4 linked regions of the Rattus norvegicus genome follow. The protein of the gene in region 3 purifies or fractionates together with the protein of the main gene of each other region. This does not show direct contact. Links are inferred from orthologs where the notes say so. Each region holds a gene or a part of one and is shown on either strand. Other genes may lie near its edges.

Region 1 (4,413 bases), on a different chromosome or scaffold from region 3:
CACAAACATGAAGCCTGGAGTTCAGAGTCCCAGCATCTACATTAAAGCTAAGTGTGGAGGTCAGACTCCCAGTTTGAGGGACATGGAGACAGGTGGTCTCCAAGGCAAGCTGGCTCGCTAGCCTAGTCAAATCCGCAAGCTCTTGGCTCATCCAGAGACCCTCCTTCAGTAAGGAAAGTGGAAAGCAACTGAGGAAGACCCCTGTTGTCAGCCTCTGGCCTCCACACACATGCACATACCCACACATGAACATACACAGGTCCACATACAACACACTTATGCAAACAAAGAAGTTCTCAGTTGAAGAGTCTGGAGACAGCTCAGTCAGTTCAGTGTTTGCCCCTCAAACAAAAGGACCTAAAATTTTTTTTAAAAAAATATTTATTTTATGTGTATGAGTGTTTAGTCTGCATGTGTACCCCAGAGAACATCAGATGCTCTGGAAAGTGTTGACCTTTGTCCTTTACAAACATGCACCCCGCCTACACATGGAGATACAGACACATACATTAGAATTCCCAAAGTTCAGTAGAGATCCTGGCCCTCAGCCAGAGCTCTATGGCATTCTGGGGCTGCTCAGCCTGGGTTAGGCTGGTTTGGTATATGGAAAAGAGAACCTGCAGCATCAGACTGCTAACCCTAAGCTAGCCTCCTCCTCCTTCAGTTCTTGAATTTCCTCCACTAAAAGAGGGACCTGGGAGGGGTGAGAGGCTAACAGAAATATTATGCACAGGACTGGCCAGACTAGAGGGGGCTGCAAGGCAGCTAAGTGCAGGGAGATGGCGCTAGGGCTAGCCAAAGTCCTGCCCTTCTCTGATGAGGGCACTTAGGAGTGGCCTCTGGGGGTCAGAGGAAGTGGAAAACAAAGCCACCTCCCTGTATCTCTTCCTTCCCCATCCTGAGCTGATGGTCTTTGCTCCAGTGTCTGCTGTCAAGTCATTACCTTTATACCAAAGACCCTGGGTCTCCATCACAGGAGGAATCCTAGCTTGAACCACACCCTAAATACTCACTTAGATGTTGAGAATCTGAGGCCAGGGAAGACCCCCTGGCCAGAAGGCACTGGGAAGTGAGGGTTCTTATTCTCTTGATCAGTGTGGTTGGATATAAACACTCCCCTCAAAGGCTTAGGTCCCCAGCTAGTGGCGATATCGAGTGATCGTAAGGGCCTAGATGGGGGAGATGGACCGAATGTTTGCAAGGGGTATCCTGTTCTGACCTTATTCTTGGTATATTGTGCTCTCTCACTCTGTCTGTCTCTCTCTCTCTGCTTCTGCTCCCAGGTGAGCAGTTCTGCCCCAGCCCACTTTTCCCCTACCATGTCGCTCTCCCTCACCAGAGGGTCCCCAGTGACAGGGCCATGTGGCAGCCATGGACTGAAACCTCTGAACTGAAAGTAAATCTTACCTCTTCTAAGTTGATTTTCTCGTGTACTTTTGTCATGATAAAAAGCAACGAACACGAACCCCTCCTACTCCACTCCACCCCTGCCTTTCCCTATAGACACACAGGCTGGCCACACCCAAGAACAGAAAAGGTTTATTGAAAACTATATACAGTTTGTCCAGGTCCTACAGGTTGCAATCTGGACCCACCCCGCTCACACCTCGGGCAGTTTCTTGGCCCCTGATGGAGGAGGCCAGGACTGAGACCAGGGTACCCAATGTGGATCTTTGTCTGTGAACTATAAACACCCTGGAGGTGGTGGGCAAGGGACAGGGAACGGATCCCTAACCTGATCTAGTCACAGTCAAGAAGGGAACACTACTCTGAAACTCAGGCCCAGTGGACCTAGTGAGGCATCCGGAAGTCCTCCTCTTGCAGGAGGCCTTCCTGAACATGGGGACAGTCTCCCGAGCTGTCCCTCCCACAAGCTTCAGAGGCTTGCCTAGGGATGCTGGGGAACCTTCCTCTCAAGACTGACTCAGGGTCCAGAGCCACTGGAACCATCCCCAAATAGAGACAGTGTTGGAGAGGTCACAGCACAGGGTCCAGGCCAGAGCCTCAGGGGCAGTGTTGGAGGTCAGGGGGTCCCGCTGTAGGAATAGTCTGCCTTGTTGTGCATCACCAGCCGATCATCCACGAAGTAGAAGCTGTCAGACTGTGTCTCATACGGATGACGAATCATCTCACTGACTGCAAGAGAGGTCCACCCAGGGCAAAGGTCAGGACCCTGAGCCAGACCCTTTGGGACTTTAGAACTGGGAGAGAGGGAGGCAGGGACAGATGAACCACTTCAGAGAGTTCCTCAGCCTCTTTGAGCCTGTTTCCCTCCTGGTGACACAGGAGTGGCGCCAGGTAAGAAAGTGATGCAGGGTAGGTGCACGGGGACCAGATGCACAGGTACCACCCCCCACCTCCCGACACTGAGCCTGGGTTCTCCACATCTCCACTCACTTAGCTCCTCGGAGAGAGGCGGGAAGTCATAGATGTGCTCACAGGTGTTCTTGCTGCTGGGAATGCAGAAGCCAAAGTGGAAGTCGAAGCTTTTGAGGAGCTGGTTTCGAAAGTAGTGCCTCTCAATCATGCGGAAGTTGTTGACCGGCTTGTCTCCCACTGTGAACTCCACCCTGAGTTAAGAGAAGCGGGCAAAGCTGAGTAGCTTCCACACCAACCATCCAGCCAGCCAGCCAAGGGACTCCAGGCTCCAAGGCTCCAGGCAGACTGCCACCGAGAGGCTCTGGAAGGGGGCTGTTCCCACCCTCACACTCGCCCCCCAGCCCTCACCCCAGCCCAGTGACTCACGTGGCTCCCACCTGCCTTAGGCGGAGGAAGGCAGGTGTGAACTGGTATCGAACAAAGCGCCCTGCATTGGGGTCCAGGTCCCGCCGGTTGATGGGCAACCGTTCTGTAATGTACCCCAGCTGGGCTCAGTGGGCTTCAGGCTGGGGCCTTTGCCTACTCCACCCTCCCCCAAGGACCTCTGTTCAAACGTTTCTAAACTCTTCAGGAGATTCTGGTACACTTTTGTTGAAGAGTGGTACCTACAGGGTTCTAGATCAACAAGTCACCAGTGTTCAGGGGTTCCCAGAGCCATAGGGTGTGCATAGGATTATGGGAGGACTTAGGGGCTGCAGTTCCTAGGGAGGCCAGCAGAGGACAGGCTGACCAGTACTTAAACAGGGCAATGCTCCCAATATGTCCACCCTGAGAAACAGTGGCAGAAAAAAGAAGAGGCCTGTCTGCCCACAGACACCTGAGTGTGCTGAAGTTCAAGTCTGGACTGTGCTCTGTGGCTCAAAGAACCTAGACAGCCCGCTCCACTGTGCTTGCCCACCTTTTCCTCTCAATGGTGCTCCAATCCCACTCACCGGAAACAGGGGGCTTCTTGATTTCAAAAAGAACAGTCCCTGAGTCCATGTCCCGGATCTTGAACCTGACGAAGTCAATCTTGTAGATATTTTCCTCAGGGGAGCACAGGTAGTCTATGGGAGACAGGCAGCTGAGCAAACAGGGACCCCAAAACACCCACTGTGGATTCAGTTTTGGTGGGCCCCTGTCTTGGAGAAGCCCCCACAGTGCAGGGGACAGAATTTTGTTATAGTCAAGGATGAACAGGGACGATCCTAGTGGCCTCAGAGGCAAGGCAAGTCACCTCCACCATACCGACCCTCCCACCCTCTTGGCAATCCTTATTTCAACCTCGGCTTTGCAAGGTTGGCATGCATCCTTCGGACAACTGGACCTCCTGCCTAGTGGAAGCTTCCAGCATGAGGGGGACTTCACTCCAAAGGGAGCATGCAGCTCTCGGGGGAGGAGAGTTACAGTTCTTCCTGGGCGTGCGCCCCACCCTCACCACACACAACCCTGGGGCGTGACATCTAGGTGTCAGGCAAGGCTGATTTGAGGGGAACTTTCCCTTGCATGGGCTGTATCGGGGCAGGCTGGTACCCTTCCCTGCTGCCCCGCCCCGCCCCTCCCCCACTGTAAGCAGCTTACACTAACCCAGCTCTCTTAAGCAGCTTATAGGGCTCTGCGTACTCAGGCAAGGAAGCCCTGGGACACAAGGGGCCTGCGCTGCCCCACAGATCCTCGGCTGATCTCCCGATGGGAGGAAGTCTTAGCAAACAGAGGGAACCCTTAGAGGTCATCTTTCCAGCCCTGGCCCTGAGCCAACCTCAGGAATAAAGTGCTCTCTGGTTTAGAGAAAAGAACACAGAAAGGATGCGGTGGGCACAGCAGGTGCCACAGGGATGAGGCAAGGAGAGTCCTGGGCTCAGAAGGAAGCCAGGAGAGCTAAGCGTTGCCTAAGGGAGTTAGTTCATGGTCTAACCCTTACCACTCTTTTGTCACCGTTTTTTTTTTAAGCCAGGGTTCCATGTCGCCTAGCTAACCTCAAACTCACTACTCGGCAGATGCTGGCCTTGAACTCCCGGTCTTCCTGCTTCATAAAACTTACACCAAGTCCTAGGG
Region 2 (5,756 bases), about 200 kb from region 3:
ACAGAAACCATGGTCTGCGTCTCATGCACTTTGTAGGGAATGGACAAGGATGCATAGAAAAGGCTGTGTTGGGCACCGCTCTCAGTATCTGAATCTCAGCTTCTTCATCCTCAGTTCCCTTACTAGCACTCCAGACTTCCCCATCCCCATACCTTTCTTATTCCAACCAAATGGGTTGTCTTTTTAAAATTCCATTTTTGGCAGGCAGTGTATAATGAGGGAGCAAGGAAGAACCTTTTAGCTATTGGAGGGAAAAAGGAGTTAAGTGTGTGAACCAAATGTAGATTGACTGTAAGTCCTGTTGATGTTGCTAATTTTGTTGTTTAGTCAACTATCATGTTTGCCTTTTATCTCCTCATCTGTACTGGTAATAGGATTGTCTTCTCAGCCATCCAGAGGCAGGTAGCTCTAAGTTTGAGGACAGCCTAGTCTACATAGTTAGACCCTAGCTCAAAAACAAACAAAAAACCAAAACAATAAAAAACAACAAAAATAAAAACTGGGGCCTGGAAGATGGCTCAGCAGTTAAGAGCACTGGCTGTTCTTCCAAAGGACCTGGGTTCAATTCCCAGCACCCAGATGGTAGCTCACAGTGGTCTATTAACTCCACACCCAGGGGATCTGAAAACCTCACAGTCAGACATACAGGCAAAATACCCATGCACATAGAAATTAATAAAGAAAAATTTAAAAATATAAATAAGGCAAAAGCAAAAAAGACCCAACTTTAAAAATTAAAGTGTTTTCTCTTAGTAACCACACTGAAGTTAAACCTGTGACTGCAGAGCTAAAAGAAACATTTAAAAACAATATTTAAGGGGCTGGGGATTTAGCTCAGTGGTAGAGCGCTTACCTAGGAAGCGCAAGGCCCTGGGTTCGGTCCCCAGCTCCGAAAAAAAGAACCAAAAAAAAAAAAAAAAAAAAATTTAAAAAAAAAAAAACCCTGTTGAAAAAAGAATGATCACCTGCACTTGAAGTCAGAAAGGCCAAACTATGCCCTGTGTATATAGGAATTTATAAGCAGAAGAAAACGATGGTGACATTTTGTTTGGTGAGTACAGGTCAGAGGTAACTGGCTGATTTTACACACAACCTAGATCTCACACTCACCACTGCACAGATGACACTGCAGAGTTAGTTTCTCAGGACCAAGTAACTAGTTAACAGTCAGTTTCCAAAGTTAACATCTTCGACCTGATATAACTCTTTAGCAATTAACCTGACAGGTTATAAAGATTTGAGGAAATAAAAATAAGACTACCAAGTCAACCTTTCATAGTGATATTCTTCAGTCGGCAGGCACTTATCAAAGTCAATCAAACACAGGTGTTTGCTATTTGCAAGCCGGTATAAAAAAATATAAAAGATAATGGCCTGAAAATGTAGATAAGTTAGTAGAGTACTAAGCCTGATCCTAGGCACTGCACAAACTGAATGTGGTGGGGCACACCTCCCAAACCCTGGAGGAAAAGGACCACAAGTTCCAGGTCACAAAGGGCTATATATAAATGTAGATATATGTAAATACCCAGCCTCAGCTACTTGAGACCTGCCTCATTTAAAAAAAAAAGGGGGGGGGGTTAAAAATCCTTACAGTAACTAAGTTGTCAGAACAAAAGAACAAAAACATAAGAACCTGCGTGTTACAGAATGAAGGTCCTGAGCTGAAATGCAAACAATTGATGTTTCTATTTACTGACCACAAGTTTGGTTTACTGTGCTTCAAAGGTCCTCACTTATTTTTCCATTTGACTGGAAAGAAAAGCAGGTCTTTAAAGTCATTGTCCATCCACGACCTTTTTGCATTGTACAAACGGTAAAGCCCCTTCAACAACGCTGGGAGACAGAGAACAGATGAAGGAAAATGGTATTTTCCTTTTATTTCTTTTCGGATTTGTATTTTGAGTGCCTCTGTAGGACAAAAGAGAACATCAGTCCCCCAGTGCTGAAGTTACAGGTGTCTGAGAGCCACCTGATGTGGGCGCTGGGAACTGAACCCCTGTGGAAGAGCAGAAAGTGCTATTAACCGCTGATCCACCTCTCCATTAGATAATGGTATTTTCACAATGACCTGTCCACAGTACCATTCTGGCCAGAGTCTGTCAATCTCTCAGACGGTCTTTGATGAAATAACTTTATTCCTCGTGGATAGGGTCGAATATATATTTTGGAGTGGGTTGGGGTCTAAAAGCAGACGCTTTCTATTGGCTTGGACTGAGAGGTTAGACTCTCCATGGGGTGTCTTGGTCAAGTGTTACCAAGGTCCAGGACAGTTACCAGGTCAAGAGTGGGTTTCTGAATCCGCTCAACCTCTCCAGTTTTTGTCTGGTAACAAGGTTCCATCTGCCCCACAAAACTCCAACTATTCAATCAGTGAGACAGACTGTGATATCTAAAATTTAGATATCATAAAAAAATACTTACTAAAAACCATGTCTAACTACAAGTGAGGGTCCAATAGGCGGTTTGAATAAGAAAAATGTCTAAGTCGCTCAAGTCAAGAGAAGAGGGCTCACTAGTCTACAAGCAGAGAACAAAGGCTACCATTCTTAAACTATCTCTACTCAAGCAAGAACTAAAACAAAAAGACTAATTTCTCGTTCATCTCCCGCAAAAGAACCTGCCGTCCCTTACCTCCATCATTTCCCCATTTGCATAACTTCAAAAACACATTTTAAAATAAAGGAGAGAAAACCATCCGGGTCTGTAGCAATTCTTATTCGACAGGCCGAAACGGAAAACTTTGCTTGAGAAAACCTCAAGCTCCGGGATTCTCTGGTCGCCCCGACCTCTGATGAACTTAAACCCGAGTTCCCGCTAAATCCCGCAGCACCGCTCCGTAGAGGCGCCGCGCGGGACCGGCATTCCGGCAGTTTTTACCTTTACAACCCAGGTCAAGGCACTCTCCACCACCCGCGACCCCGCCTCCCCAAATTGTTTTCTCTTTGGGAAAGCTGGGAGAAGTAGGTTCATTTCTGGTAAGAGCTGGTCCTTGGCGCGCGGGGCAACTACTACCGGAGGAGAAGGGGGCGGGAGCACGGTACTATCCATCAACCTCTCCGCGCTCGGAGATCGCGAGTCCTCTTCGGGCCTCGACCGCGGTTCCGAAACCTCCCCTTATACCCTGATCCGGGGTGGGACTGAGGGTGCAGAATCTCTAAGGCTAGGTCGAGATGAGCACTCTCGATGCCTGGGCTCCGAGGGGGCGGGAGCAAGAACAAAGCGGCGGCCACCCACCGCCGGTACCGGGAGACCCCAAAGTACGCCAAGACCCGCTTACCTACGGACAGCAGCTGCATGGCGTGAGTGAAGGACGGGTCGAGCGAGTCCTTCTCAGCCATGAGTTCAGGCAGGTACTTATTCTCCGGCTCCATCTTGGCCGCGGCTGTGGCTGACGGGGGCAGTAGCGGGGTCGGCGCGGAACCCACCACAGTCGCGTCGGGACCCGGATTAGAGGGAGGCAGCAGCGGCGGCGGCTGCGTAGCGGGCGAGGCCCGAGCGCCTCCTCTGGGCCCACCTCCGCCTCCCCGGGACCGGTGAGGAAGCGGCGACGGCCGAGACGGGGTCAGACGCACCGAGGGGTGGGCACCTGACGGGTCCTTGGAGCAGCTGCGGCCCGAGGACCGGGTGAGGCGCGCGGCAGGGTCGTCCCGGCGCTGCATCAGGAATGATGTGTGGCGAGCGAGCGAGGAAGCGACGCGACGGCGCTGAGGCCCGAGCGGCGGTTGGCGGGGGTGGAAGAACGGGAGCGACAGCGACCGAAGCCGACCCGAGCGACCCAGCGAGAGAGCACCGGAAATGAGGCGGCGCGCGTGCGCAGGCGCCTACCGGCACCGCCCTTGAGTTTCTCCGCGGAGAACAAAGTCCCCAGTTGGGCCACGACGCCTGCGCCGACTGAAGACGTAGCCTCCCCACTCAGGCTCCGAGTTTATTGCGCCTGCGCAGACGCCGGCCGCCTTCGTTCGTTTCTTTTCCTTTTCCACGTGACCCGGCGCTAGCGGTACACGTGTCTCCCCTCCCCCTCCCTCGGGCGGAGTGCGCGGAGGGGGCGGGCGCCGTGGAATGTCTTTGTCTGCGCTCGGGCCCGCGGAGTGTGCGGCAGGAGACCTGTTATTCGTGGGCCACGCCTCCTTCAACGGCCGAGCCTGGGGAGGTCCCGGGGGAACGGTGCTGCTGTGTGGTTCGGGGGCCGCCTCTCCAGCAAGGAAATGAAAGGAACGCTTCTGGAGAGAGGGGAACGCGAGGATTAGAGCAAAGCGAGGCCGAAAGAGAGGGAAAGACTGCGCGAACGGGATGGGAAGATGGGGATGCTGGGAGAGGCTGACCCCGGGTGGGTGTGAGAAAGGGAAGCCAGGAATGGGAAATAGAAGACTAAATGCTATGTATTGCAGAACTGAAACTCAGAAGGGGTCAGTCAGAGACGCAAACAACGGAAAAAAAGGGCTCCCTCCATTCCCAAGTAGAGCATCCAGGAAGTCAGACACCAAGATTTCTATTAGAGCAGGTTCAAATTTGGTGAGAGAATTATTAAAAGATACATTTGGGGCCAGAACAACTGGCAATACTGTTTGTCACCTGTTTGGTTGGAGTCCCCAGCTCCCCTACCCCCAGTAAATTCCAATTTTCTCTCTCTCTCCCTCCAACCCCGCCCACTTAGAAAGCCTCAGAACAGAAAAAGGCGCCAAAAAACCCAGTCCCGAATTCTTGACTGTCCTAATCCACCTCATCTGAAGTCACCAGCTACCCAAATCTCTCCCTCTCCCTTGATGACCCCAGCCCAGCCTGTGGTAGACACATCATTTTTATTGCCTACACTCTTATTGAAAACTTACCAGCCATAGTCTGCCCCTGATTTATTCCGGTACTCTGAGGCTGGTGGTCTCGCCTGGGAGCCCATTCCCAAATAAACATGCCTTTTTTATTTTTTTAATTCGTCTTGAATTGACTTAGTTCATTGGGGGAAAAACTATCATCAACCTGAGTTCTATCCCCTGGCCCAAAATAGGAGAGAACCAATTCTCCCAAGTTTTGACCTCTACATGCACATAGTGGCCTTCACGTCTACCCCTACTAAGGGAATGAGGTGGTTATCCTTCATAGTGTTCTGAGGAGGGAGAGCCACAGAATTACCTCAAGTTTGAGACAAGTCTGGCCTACATACACAGCTCCAGGCCACCTAGGATATCGAAGGGACACCCTGTCCCCCAAAAGCAAACTAAGAAGCTTCTCAGGTCGCTGGCATACACACAGTCCTAGCACGGGTTAGACTGAAGCATTCTGTTGCCACCTTCCGTTTATTCTGTAAAACAGTGAGTACGGGCCCAGTCTTAGACCATGTTGGCTGTCTAGTTCTCAGAGCTCCTACTACTGGTATGAATGCTAGTCTTTCACTACGGATCCTATTGCCCTCTCTCAAAAAGACAAACGCGTTTTCTTCCCTTAACATTTTCACCGTAGAGTCCTGGCTGTCCCAGGACTCACTCTGAAACCCCAGGGTAGCTTTCAACTCACAGCAATTCAGTCTTAATCTTCAGAATGCTGGAACAACAGGACACAAATCACCATGAGACAGACACTACTGCTCTAATACCTCACAGTCTCCAGGGTATTCCCTTCATCCTGGGGTGATGTATGCAGATGGAGCCCAAATCTCTCCCATGAACAGTCTGAGGCAGAGACGTCAAGATGGCTAAGCTGCTTAGACTGTTGTCAGGCCTGATGATCTGAGTCAATCTCCAAGACCACATGCTGGGAGG
Region 3 (4,076 bases):
ACTAGACATGCACATGGTACGCAGACATATTTGCAGGCAAAACGTTTACAGACACAAAAATAAATCCACAAAGAGAGTTAACCCTTATCTCAAGCGCTGTCTTTGTCTGGTCCACAAACTGTTTCTCTGTATAGATTTTTTTTTTCTCCGCTGGTGTCTGAGACACGGCTTTTCCATGTAATCCTGGCTGTCCTAAAACTTGTGCTGTAGACCAGGATGGTGTCAAACTTAGAAATCTCTTCCTTAGGGGTTGGGGATTTAGCTCAGTGGTAGAGCGCTTACCTAGGAAGCACAAGGCCCTCGGTTCGGTCCCCAGCTCCGAAAAAAAGAACCAAAAAAAAAAAAAAAAAAAAAAGAAATCTCTTCCGGGTTCGTTGTTGTTGTTGTTTTGTTTTTGTTTTTGTTTTTGTCGCTGACACCAAAGAATGCTACTAATAAGCTAAAAAGTTATGATTATAAAACTCATGCTCTGTTATCTCAATGTTCCGAAATCCTCCCGTTCCCTACCCATCGACCCCCCTCCCTTACCTTACTCAGGACCAATCAGCTTAAAGGTTAGCTGATAAGACTTTGCCTAGGAAACCAACTGTTTCTCCTTGCCCTTTAAACTTTTTTTTTAAATTTTTTTTAAATTTTTTTATTCATTTATCATATATAAGTACACTGTAGCTGTCTTCAGACACACCAGAAGAGGGCATCGGATCTCTTTACAGATGGTTGTGAGCCACCATGTGGTTGCTGGGAATTGAACTCAGGACCTCGAGAAGAGTAGTCGGGTGCTCTTAACCGCTGAGCCATCTCTCCAGCCCCCTTTAAACTTTTGAACCTGGTTTTTTCCTATAAAAAGTCTACTCTGAGAGCAGACTAGTGTCACAATTATGTTTTTCCCTCTTGAGGACCTGGACATCCAGTATTATGGTATGCACTCAATAAACTATTCTTGTTTAACTCCGGTGGTGTGCATGGTATGTGTAGGGACTCCCCAGTCTCCGGGGGGTTGACTCCCAACCACCAGGGCTTCACACCATGTTTTACATGGTAATGGTGCTTCCCTTGTTCAGTGGAGACACACTTACATTACAGGAGAAACAGCCTGTAGCGATCACAGCAAGAGAACCTAGGCCAGGTGGTCCACCAGCAACCCCAGTCTCTCTCATCCGACCCCCCCACTATCTGCCACAAAGAAATGAAGTGTGCGGTAGAAAACTGTACAGCCTTAATTGAACAGACTTTTATTGAGCTCCTGGTGTGTGGTACCACCAAGGCACAGCACACAGAGACATTAGATTGGATGGCAGCCCACAAGGAGGGCCTTCCTGGAGGCCCCCAGAAAGGCAGTGGTAGACAGACACATGCAGCAATCACAAGCCTTCTCCTCTCTGTGGTTTCAGAAAATGGAATGGAAAGAGACACCTTAGGTGGTCTCTAAGACTTAGACTCACATGTTCCATGGGTATAAGGCACATGTGTAGAACCCACATAACTACGGATGTGTGTATGAGACAAAAACGGCTATGTATGGCACACGCACAGGCTTCACGTGCCGAGTCGGAGTCCACGTGTGCACAGGCCGCATGGATAGGGCACAAGAACTCCAGAGGGATAGGGGAGGATCTTGGGACCGCAAGGCCTCAAGGCTGGGGCTGGTACTGGCCCTCTGTGGCTGTGAAGAAGTCATCCAGAACGCTCCGAAGGTAGTCAAACGTGGGCCTGTCCTCTGGGCGCTCCTTCCAGCACAGCATCATGAGGTGGTACAGCTCTTCCGGGCAGTTGTCAGGTCGCACCATTCGGTAGCCTTTTTCCAGGTTCTGAATGACTTCAGGGTTGGTCATTCCTGGAAGGCAGACGGAACCTCAGCCTCTAAGCTTTGGAAACCTAAGAGCAAAGCTAATGCTAAACTGGATTTTTCTCTTTTCTTTCTTTCTTTCTCTCTTTTTTTTCTGTTGTTGTTTGTTTGTTTGTTTGTTTGTTTTTGAGACAGGGTTTCTCTGTGTGGCTCTGGCTATCTTGGAACTCACTCTGTAGACCAGGCTGGCCTCAAACTTATAGAGACCCTGCCTCAGCCTCCCAATGCTAGGATTAAAGAAATGTACCACCACAGCTGGCTTGCTCTGTCTGTCTGTCTATCTGCTTGTCTGTCTGTCTGTCTATCTATCTATCTATCTATCTATCTATCTATCTATCTATCTATCATCTACTTCTATAGTACTTGGAATTGAACACAGGACCTCACACACATTAAATGGGCACTCCATTATTGAGCTACAACCCCAGCCTACAGCTTGGATGTTGAATGTCTCCCCACGTGCTGTAAGCCTGGCCCCAATTCACGGCATTAGTGGGAGATTGTAGAACCTTTAAGAAATGGGATCCAAGGTGCTAGAGAGATGGCTCAGTGGTTAAGAGCACTGACTGCTCGGGCTGGAGAGATTGCTCAGTGGTTAAGAGCCCTGACTGCTCTTTCAGAGGTCCTGAGTTCAATTCCCAGCAACCACATGGTGGCTCACAACCATCTGTAATGAGATCTGGTGTGTCTGAAGACAGCTACAGTGTACTCGTATACATTAAATAAATAAATAAATAAATAAATAAATAAATAAATAAATCTTTAAGAGCACTGACTGCTCTTCCACAGGTCCTAAGTTCAAATCCCAGCAACCACATGGTGGCTCACAACCATCTGTAATGGGATCTGATGCCCTCTTCTGGTGTTTCTGAAGACAGTGTTCTCATATACATAAGTAAGTCTTAAGAAAGAAAGGAAGGAAGAAAGAAAGAAAGAAAGAAAGAAAGAAAGAAAGAAAGAAAGAAAGGGGGTCAAGATGGGAGTAGTGCCATCACTCAGAGGTAAAGAATCTTTGTGAGTTTGAGGCCAGCCTAGTCTACAGAGTTCTAAGACAGCCAGAATTCTACAGAGAAACAGTGTCTCAAGAAATCAAAAACAGGGTTGGGGATTTAGCTCAGTGGTAGAGCTCTTGCCTAGCAAGTGCAAGGCCCTGGGTTCAGTCCCCAGCTCCGAAAAAAAAAAAAAAAATCAAAAACAACAGTTAAAAAAAAAAGATTTGCCTGCCTCTGCCTCCCAAATTCTGGGATTAAAGGATGTACCAACACGCTCAGCAAACTTCTTTTAAAAAAATATTCTTGGGGTTGGGGATTTAGCTCAGTGGTAGAGCGCTTGCCTAGGAAGCACAAGGCCCTGGGTTCGGTCCCCAGCTCCGAAAAAAAGAACCAAAAAAAAAAAATATTCTTGGGCTGGAGAGATGGCTCAGCGGTTAAGAGCACTGACTGCTCTTCCAGAGGTCCTGAGTTCAATTCCCAGCAACCACATGGTGGCTCACAACCATCTGTAATGGGATCTGATGCCCTTTCTTGTGTGTCTGAAGAAAGCTATAGTATACTCACATACACAAAATAAATAATAATAATAAAAAGAAGGTCCTCTTAAAAAATAAAATAAATGGGTTGGGGATTTAGTTCAGTGGTAGAACACTTGCCTAGCAAGCGCAAGGCCCTGGGTTCGGTCCCCAGCTCCGAAAAAAAGAATAAAAAAATAAATAAAATATATTACATTTACTTAATTGTTATTAATTTCGTGTAGGATGTGAAGGAGCCTACACATGAGCCAAAGCACATATGTGGAGGTCAGAGAACAACTTTTTTTTTTCCTATGACCTTGCGCTTGCTAGGCAAGCGCTCTACCACTGAGCTAAATCCCCAACCCCAGAGAACAACTTTTTAAAAATGATTTTTTTAAGTATTTTATTTTATTGGTGTGTGGGGGGGGTTGAAACAGGGTTTCTCTGTGTATCCCTGGCTGTCCTGGAACTCTGTAAAGCAGGTTGCCTTTAAACTCAGATTCACCTGCCTCTCTGCCTCCCGAGTGCTGGGATTAAGGTGTGTGCCGCCATCTTTGGCTTAAAACTTTATGTCTATGTACATGAGTGTGTTTTACATGTACACATATCACACCTGTGCAGTGCCCAAGGAGGCCAGAAGAGGGCACTGAATTCCTTGGAACTGGAATTACAGACGGCTGTAATCTGTTCTATGGGTGCTGAGACCTGAACCTAGGTCCT
Region 4 (5,572 bases), on a different chromosome or scaffold from region 3:
CTCTAGGATGCTATCTGGTGCGCTTCAGCGAGAGCGCTGTGACCTTCGTGCTGTCCTACAGGTGAGGGGCGGTCCTCATGGACCAGCTGGAGGCGGGGCTTCGTGCTAACTAAGGGGCAAGCCCCTGTGCTGACCGCTCTCTCCAAAGAGAGCTCAAGATGCTTCCCTCAGCCTGGTGGGGGAAGAAATGCCAAGTCTGACTCAAAGTAACTCTCCAGGAGCCGAACCTGCTGCCGTCACTTCCTCCTTGCTCAGCTAGGGGATGGGCGCCACGTGGTGCTGGGTGAAGACAGTGCCCACTCGCAGCTTCAGGACCTGCTTCAACACTACACAGAGTGCCCCCTCAGCCCCTACGGGGAGATGCTCACCCAACCCCTTGCTCGCCAGGTGAGCCTTTACCCAAATTCCATAACTGAATGTCATCGTCGCCGCCACCCCTACCAAGTCCAGGTTACTGACCTCTCTGTCTTTCTCATCCCAATCCACGATCGGCCACACTGACTTACCCACACCTCTTCCAGAAAGGTGTCCTTTCACGACCAGACCAGCCACAAAGAACAGGGTACGGAGAGGCAGAGAGGCAGTCAAGTTAAATTAAGCAAAGTTTACTTAGTCTCCAGAGCAGGGCTGAGAGGGAGAGATTCTGTCAATAAACCTGTGGCCAAGACAGATGGGCATCTCGCTCACAAACCTTACTACAGTAGCAACGACAGACAGTGGCTACGATAGACCCTACTTAGCTTGACAGACGTCAGGGACCTTCAAAAAGTGCAGGCGCTTCAGACCACTGTGTATTGAGAGAAATAGGTTAAACACGGAGGAAATAAACAGTCGCGATTTATATCTATCTCCTGGCCTTCACAAGGCATCTATTCTAAGATAAGGCAGATGCCGTAAGTGACACAGAGAACACGTTGATAACAGGAAGGGTGAGTGCTAGGAAGAAAGCCAAGCAGAGATGGAGAACAACAGGATAGGAGAACAACAGACACAGCAGAGAAGCTAAGGGACATCTGAGCAGAGCCCTGAATGGTGTCAGAGGGAGCTGTGCAGACAGCTGGAGAAAAAGCACTTGGCGTGGAAGTGACAGCAGGGGCAAAGGCCCTGATGGGGGAGGATGTCTGAGGTGTCTGAGGACTGAGCAGTGAGGAAGCAGCCTCACTGTGAGCAGAAGTGAGGATCAGGATGATGGATGGACAGAGAGGTTGGAAGTGAGGTCAGAAGGGAGACGTAAGGGGGCCCTGTGGCTCTTACAAGGCTCTAAGGTTTTATTCTGAATAAGATTTAATTACATCGATGAGTTAGAAGCAAGGGCCTCACCTGACAAGGTCATGAGGGTCCAACAAGGCTGCAGGAGGTGAAGACTACAATGTTTCAGAGAGCCTCCGCTCTCTGGGGTGTGGGGAGTGGGGTAATGGGGTGTGAAGGGGCGTTAGGGCCAAACAAGGCCACCCGAGATGGAAACTGCGGTTGCGTCAGGGTTTCAGAAGTTGATGGGCCTGGCTAGCACAGGGGAAGTCGAAGGAGTAAGAGAGGGCCTGTGGGCTGTTTAGAGTGTAGGGTTGACAGGGTCTTTGCAGAACAAACAAGGAACTGGGAAGACGTTTAGATGAAGGAGCCTGTCTGAACCAGGTGTGGAAATATTTGTAGTTTGAGTTGTCAAGTAGGAAGCTTCGGGCTCAGAAATAGCTGGAGGGGCTTGTCTAGCTCCAGGCTACAATTTCAGTCACCAGCTCCACAGGAGAAAACAGGAAAAGGCAATGGGAATCTGTAGGACTGAATCCAGTCTGGAAAAAGGGTCAGAACAGGAACTAGGTCCAGCACAATCAAACTTGAAGGTCTGGAACCTTCTTGAGCAGGAAGCCCTGGCATGGGCTAGAGAGACTGGGCAAAGAGACTGCAGAATGGTGAGAGTGGGAACCAGTGGGGATGTGTGTGCACCTGAACGGTGGTGCTGGCTGCATGTGGGCTCAGAGAAGATGTAACCCATTGTCGGGGGACAGAGGACAGCTTGTGTTGGGTTTGATGAAGGAGGAGGGTGAGGTATTGACGCTGACTTCCCTGCTGTTCGGGCATCAGGGTGAGTCTACTGCTTTCTCAAGGAGAGGTGAAATACAGGGTAGACACAGGAGAAAGAATTCTCATCTGGATCTAGGAAGCCAGACGCAGAGGGCATGTGGAGCCCTGCGTGAGGCTAGCCTTAATGCTGTGCTAAAAACATAACTACCACGGAGCAGTTAGAAGGGAAGGTTTGTCTCTCCTGAGTGGTCTCTGCCCCCAAACACGAAGCTTCTATCTTCATACATTAAGCTTCTTGAGCCTGAAGAAGTAAGGGCCAGCAGTTATGGAGGTTGGTTCCCGGAGGCAAAAACTCCCAAAGCCTAAAGCCTCCCAATTTTATGCAACTGTAAGTACAGATGAGACAGTCTTGGCCCTCATTCCAGACGGTTCATTGTTAGACACACCTGTGAACAGAGTTTGCTTCCGTCCACAGTTCCCAGGCCCCCTCAACACCCACCCCCTCTATCACACAGAGAACCCGGCACACACACACACACAAACACACACACACACCATACACACACCACACACACCACACACACACACACACACACACACACCATACACACACACACCACACACACACCACACACACACACCACACACACACCACACACACACACACCACACATACACACACACCACACACACACACACCACACACACACACACACCACACACACACACCACACACACACACCACACACACACCACACATACACACACACCACACACACACCACACATACACACATACCACACACACACACCACACACACACCACACACACACCACACACACACCACACACACACACCACACATACACACACACACTCACACACACCACACACACACACACCACACATACACACACACACCACACACACCACACACACCACACACACACACCACACACACACACACCACACACACACACCACACATACACACACACCACACACACCACACACACACACACACCACACACACATACACACACCACACACACACACACACCACACACACACACACCACACACACATACCACACACACACACACACCACACATACACACACACACCACACACACCACACACACACACGCCACACACACATACACACACCACACACACAACACACACACACACACACACACACACACACACACACACACACACACACACACACTGTCTCCCCCACCCTCTCAGACCTAATTGCTTTTCCTGGATCGCTTGTCGCCAACCGCCCCAACCCTGCATCCTCCTTCTTTTCCTGCAGACAGCTGAGCCTGCCGGTCTTTCCCTAAGGGGTGAATCAGACTCTGGAAGCAGAAGACAGGACCCAGACACCCAGCACAGCCTGTTCATCCAACAGGGGCAGGCCCATGCCCAGGCCCCAGGACATAAAGAGAAAGTGAGGGCCTCCCAACAGAAGAAGGTACTGTATTGATCAAGTCAGCCTGGGGATGGGGGGGGGGGGAGTGTCAGGGCATGGAGAGGGAACACAGGACGGAGGGAGAGGTCAGGAAGGGAAGGCTCTCATGGGTAGAGGCTCAGGCTGTGATAGGCCTGGGCTTAGACCCTGTCTCCACAGTTCTCATTAATTCTCTTCCCTGGCCTTGCCTTTTTCCCTAGACTTCCCAGGCATCCAGACCCAGGCCCCCCATTCCTGCCAAGCCTCAGCTACCTCTTGAAGTCTACACAAGTCCTGCTCCACGACCTCATCAGGCCCTACCCATTAACCCCGTCTACCAGGAGCCTGATGAACCCATAGCCTTCTATGCCATGGGGCGGGGCAGCCCTGGGGATGCTCCTAGTAATATCTATGCTGAGGTGGATGGCCCACGGGAAATGCTACCCATTGGGCACCCCACCCTCCATAAGTGCTGGTCCAGGCCTATCTCAGGAGGCCAGGGAAAGGGGGTACAGGGAAAGAAAAGCTCAAGAAGGCCAGCAGGAAGAGGGAGCCCCTCCTGAACGGCAGGCAAGGCGAAGGAAGAAGCAGGCTGAACCAAAATGGAATGGACCATGCTACTGAAAACCTTTGCCCAGCCCCAGGCCTGAGGTTGTTCCTGGACATGCACATGGACTCAGCTTTGTCAAGCTCTACCTGCCCCTACTCCTGAGAACATTAAAGGTGATGGGTTTCCTTCAACCTTTCTCCATCCCAGGCTGCCTCTTGTCAGTCAGGCCTTCCTCAGATACATGTGGCACTGATCCAGTTCCTCGGAGAAGAGCGCTTAGGAGCCCATGCATTGCCACCAGTGGGCTCAGAGGAGGAGGCCACCCATTGTGTGCTTGCCCTCACAGTTTCCCCCACAGATAGTTTCATGTCTGAATGTGGTATTAATATTAAATGAGTTGGACTCTTGCCCCTGTACCTGCCTCAGGTTCTTCCTCAGCCTTCCTTTCTGCTGCCACCAAAGACCCCTGCTGGGCCTTCGCCAGCTCAGTTCACCTGTGCCATGCCAGCTCCTGCCCTCTTAACCCTGGGTTCATCCAGGCTTTGCCAGGGTTCCAAAGCCACTCGAACATTGATTCAGCCAATCTCACTCCCACCCTACACACACACACACACACACACACACACACACACACACACACACACACACACCACACTGTCCACCTGTGTCCCATACCCTGACTGATTAGCTCCCAGCACCCAGCTATCCAGCCAGAAATGTAAGGTCCCTAAACATCTCCATCCTCTTTACTTCAATCTCTGTAGGTCAATAACGTCTGCCTTCTCCCCCGACCCATTCTAGTCCCTGCCATCTTCTCATCAAGACTTTTCTAAGAACAATGGGTTTTTTTGGTTGTTGTTGTCATTTTTGAGACTTGGCCTCACTGTGCAGCCGTAGTCTCCTAGAAGTCACTGTGGTATAGACAAGGGTGACTTAGCCTTTGTAGGTATCTGCTTGATTCAGCCTCCCAAAGAATGCTGGGGTGCTCAACACACCTGGCAAGGTCTCTTGCAGCCCAGGCTGGCTCCCACCTTACTGTGAAGCTGCTGAGGACCTTGAACTTCTGACCCTTTTGCCTCTTCCTCCTGAGTTCTGGGATTACAGCTGTGTACCACCAGGCAGCCCATACAGCGTGTGCGATCAAGACTGGGGCTTGGTACATGCTAGGCAAGCACTTTATTGTCTGAGCCACACCCCAATTTCTCTAAGAGTGGCTTAACTGCTCTCCTAGCACCAGGCTTGTCAGTTCTGACCCATTCTTCCCTGAGAAAGCAAAAATGGGCTTTCTGAGGCAGCCCTCCAGCTCTTCCTGACACCCCGGCGGGCCACTGGCCCATTATTCTTTATTTCTTCTCTCTCCCCTTCCTACTGAGCATGATGTCCTGGACACAGGCCTGGGGATACTCAGCTATGTCCAAAGTACTGGCCCAAATGCTTGACATGAAGCTGCCACAGGAAGGGAGGGGGAGGAGAAGAGGAGAGACGGAGGAATGGATGGAAACCTAAACCCCCACTGGAGGCCAAAGGGTTAAGACCTTCTAGAGACCAT

The links.
Region 1: the proteins of Lck (region 3) and Unc119 purify together in Homo sapiens (affinity purification with western blotting; 3 studies listed by BioGRID and IntAct, with this or other methods). This does not show direct contact. The link is inferred for Rattus norvegicus from reciprocal best matches to the Homo sapiens genes LCK and UNC119.
Region 2: the proteins of Lck (region 3) and Khdrbs1 purify together in Homo sapiens (affinity purification with western blotting; 5 studies listed by BioGRID and IntAct, with this or other methods). This does not show direct contact. The link is inferred for Rattus norvegicus from reciprocal best matches to the Homo sapiens genes LCK and KHDRBS1.
Region 4: the proteins of Lck (region 3) and Sh2d2a purify together in Homo sapiens (co-immunoprecipitation; 3 studies listed by IntAct, with this or other methods). This does not show direct contact. The link is inferred for Rattus norvegicus from reciprocal best matches to the Homo sapiens genes LCK and SH2D2A.

Annotation. Positions count from the first base shown.
Region 1 is NC_086028.1:63,738,513-63,742,925, reverse strand, and holds the end of Unc119 (protein unc-119 homolog A), read right to left. Parts: intron 3,426-4,413; coding exon 3,312-3,425; intron 2,849-3,311; coding exon 2,746-2,848; intron 2,571-2,745; coding exon 2,398-2,570; intron 2,137-2,397; coding exon 2,024-2,136; 3' UTR 1,528-2,023; downstream 1-1,527. UniProt on the Homo sapiens protein: Involved in synaptic functions in photoreceptor cells, the signal transduction in immune cells as a Src family kinase activator, endosome recycling, the uptake of bacteria and endocytosis, protein trafficking in sensory neurons and as lipid-binding chaperone with specificity for a diverse subset of myristoylated proteins.
Region 2 is NC_086023.1:147,369,709-147,375,464, forward strand, and holds the start of Khdrbs1 (KH domain-containing, RNA-binding, signal transduction-associated protein 1), read right to left. Parts: upstream 3,741-5,756; 5' UTR 3,663-3,740; coding exon 3,281-3,662; intron 1-3,280. UniProt on the Homo sapiens protein: Recruited and tyrosine phosphorylated by several receptor systems, for example the T-cell, leptin and insulin receptors. Once phosphorylated, functions as an adapter protein in signal transduction cascades by binding to SH2 and SH3 domain-containing proteins.
Region 3 is NC_086023.1:147,171,432-147,175,507, forward strand, and holds the end of Lck (proto-oncogene tyrosine-protein kinase LCK), read right to left. Parts: intron 1,835-4,076; coding exon 1,632-1,834; 3' UTR 1,211-1,631; downstream 1-1,210. UniProt on the Homo sapiens protein: Non-receptor tyrosine-protein kinase that plays an essential role in the selection and maturation of developing T-cells in the thymus and in the function of mature T-cells. Plays a key role in T-cell antigen receptor (TCR)-linked signal transduction pathways.
Region 4 is NC_086020.1:175,612,249-175,617,820, forward strand, and holds the end of Sh2d2a (SH2 domain-containing protein 2A), read left to right. Parts: coding exon 1-61; intron 62-218; coding exon 219-387; intron 388-3,338; coding exon 3,339-3,497; intron 3,498-3,694; coding exon 3,695-4,036; 3' UTR 4,037-4,437; downstream 4,438-5,572. UniProt on the Homo sapiens protein: Could be a T-cell-specific adapter protein involved in the control of T-cell activation. May play a role in the CD4-p56-LCK-dependent signal transduction pathway. Could also play an important role in normal and pathological angiogenesis.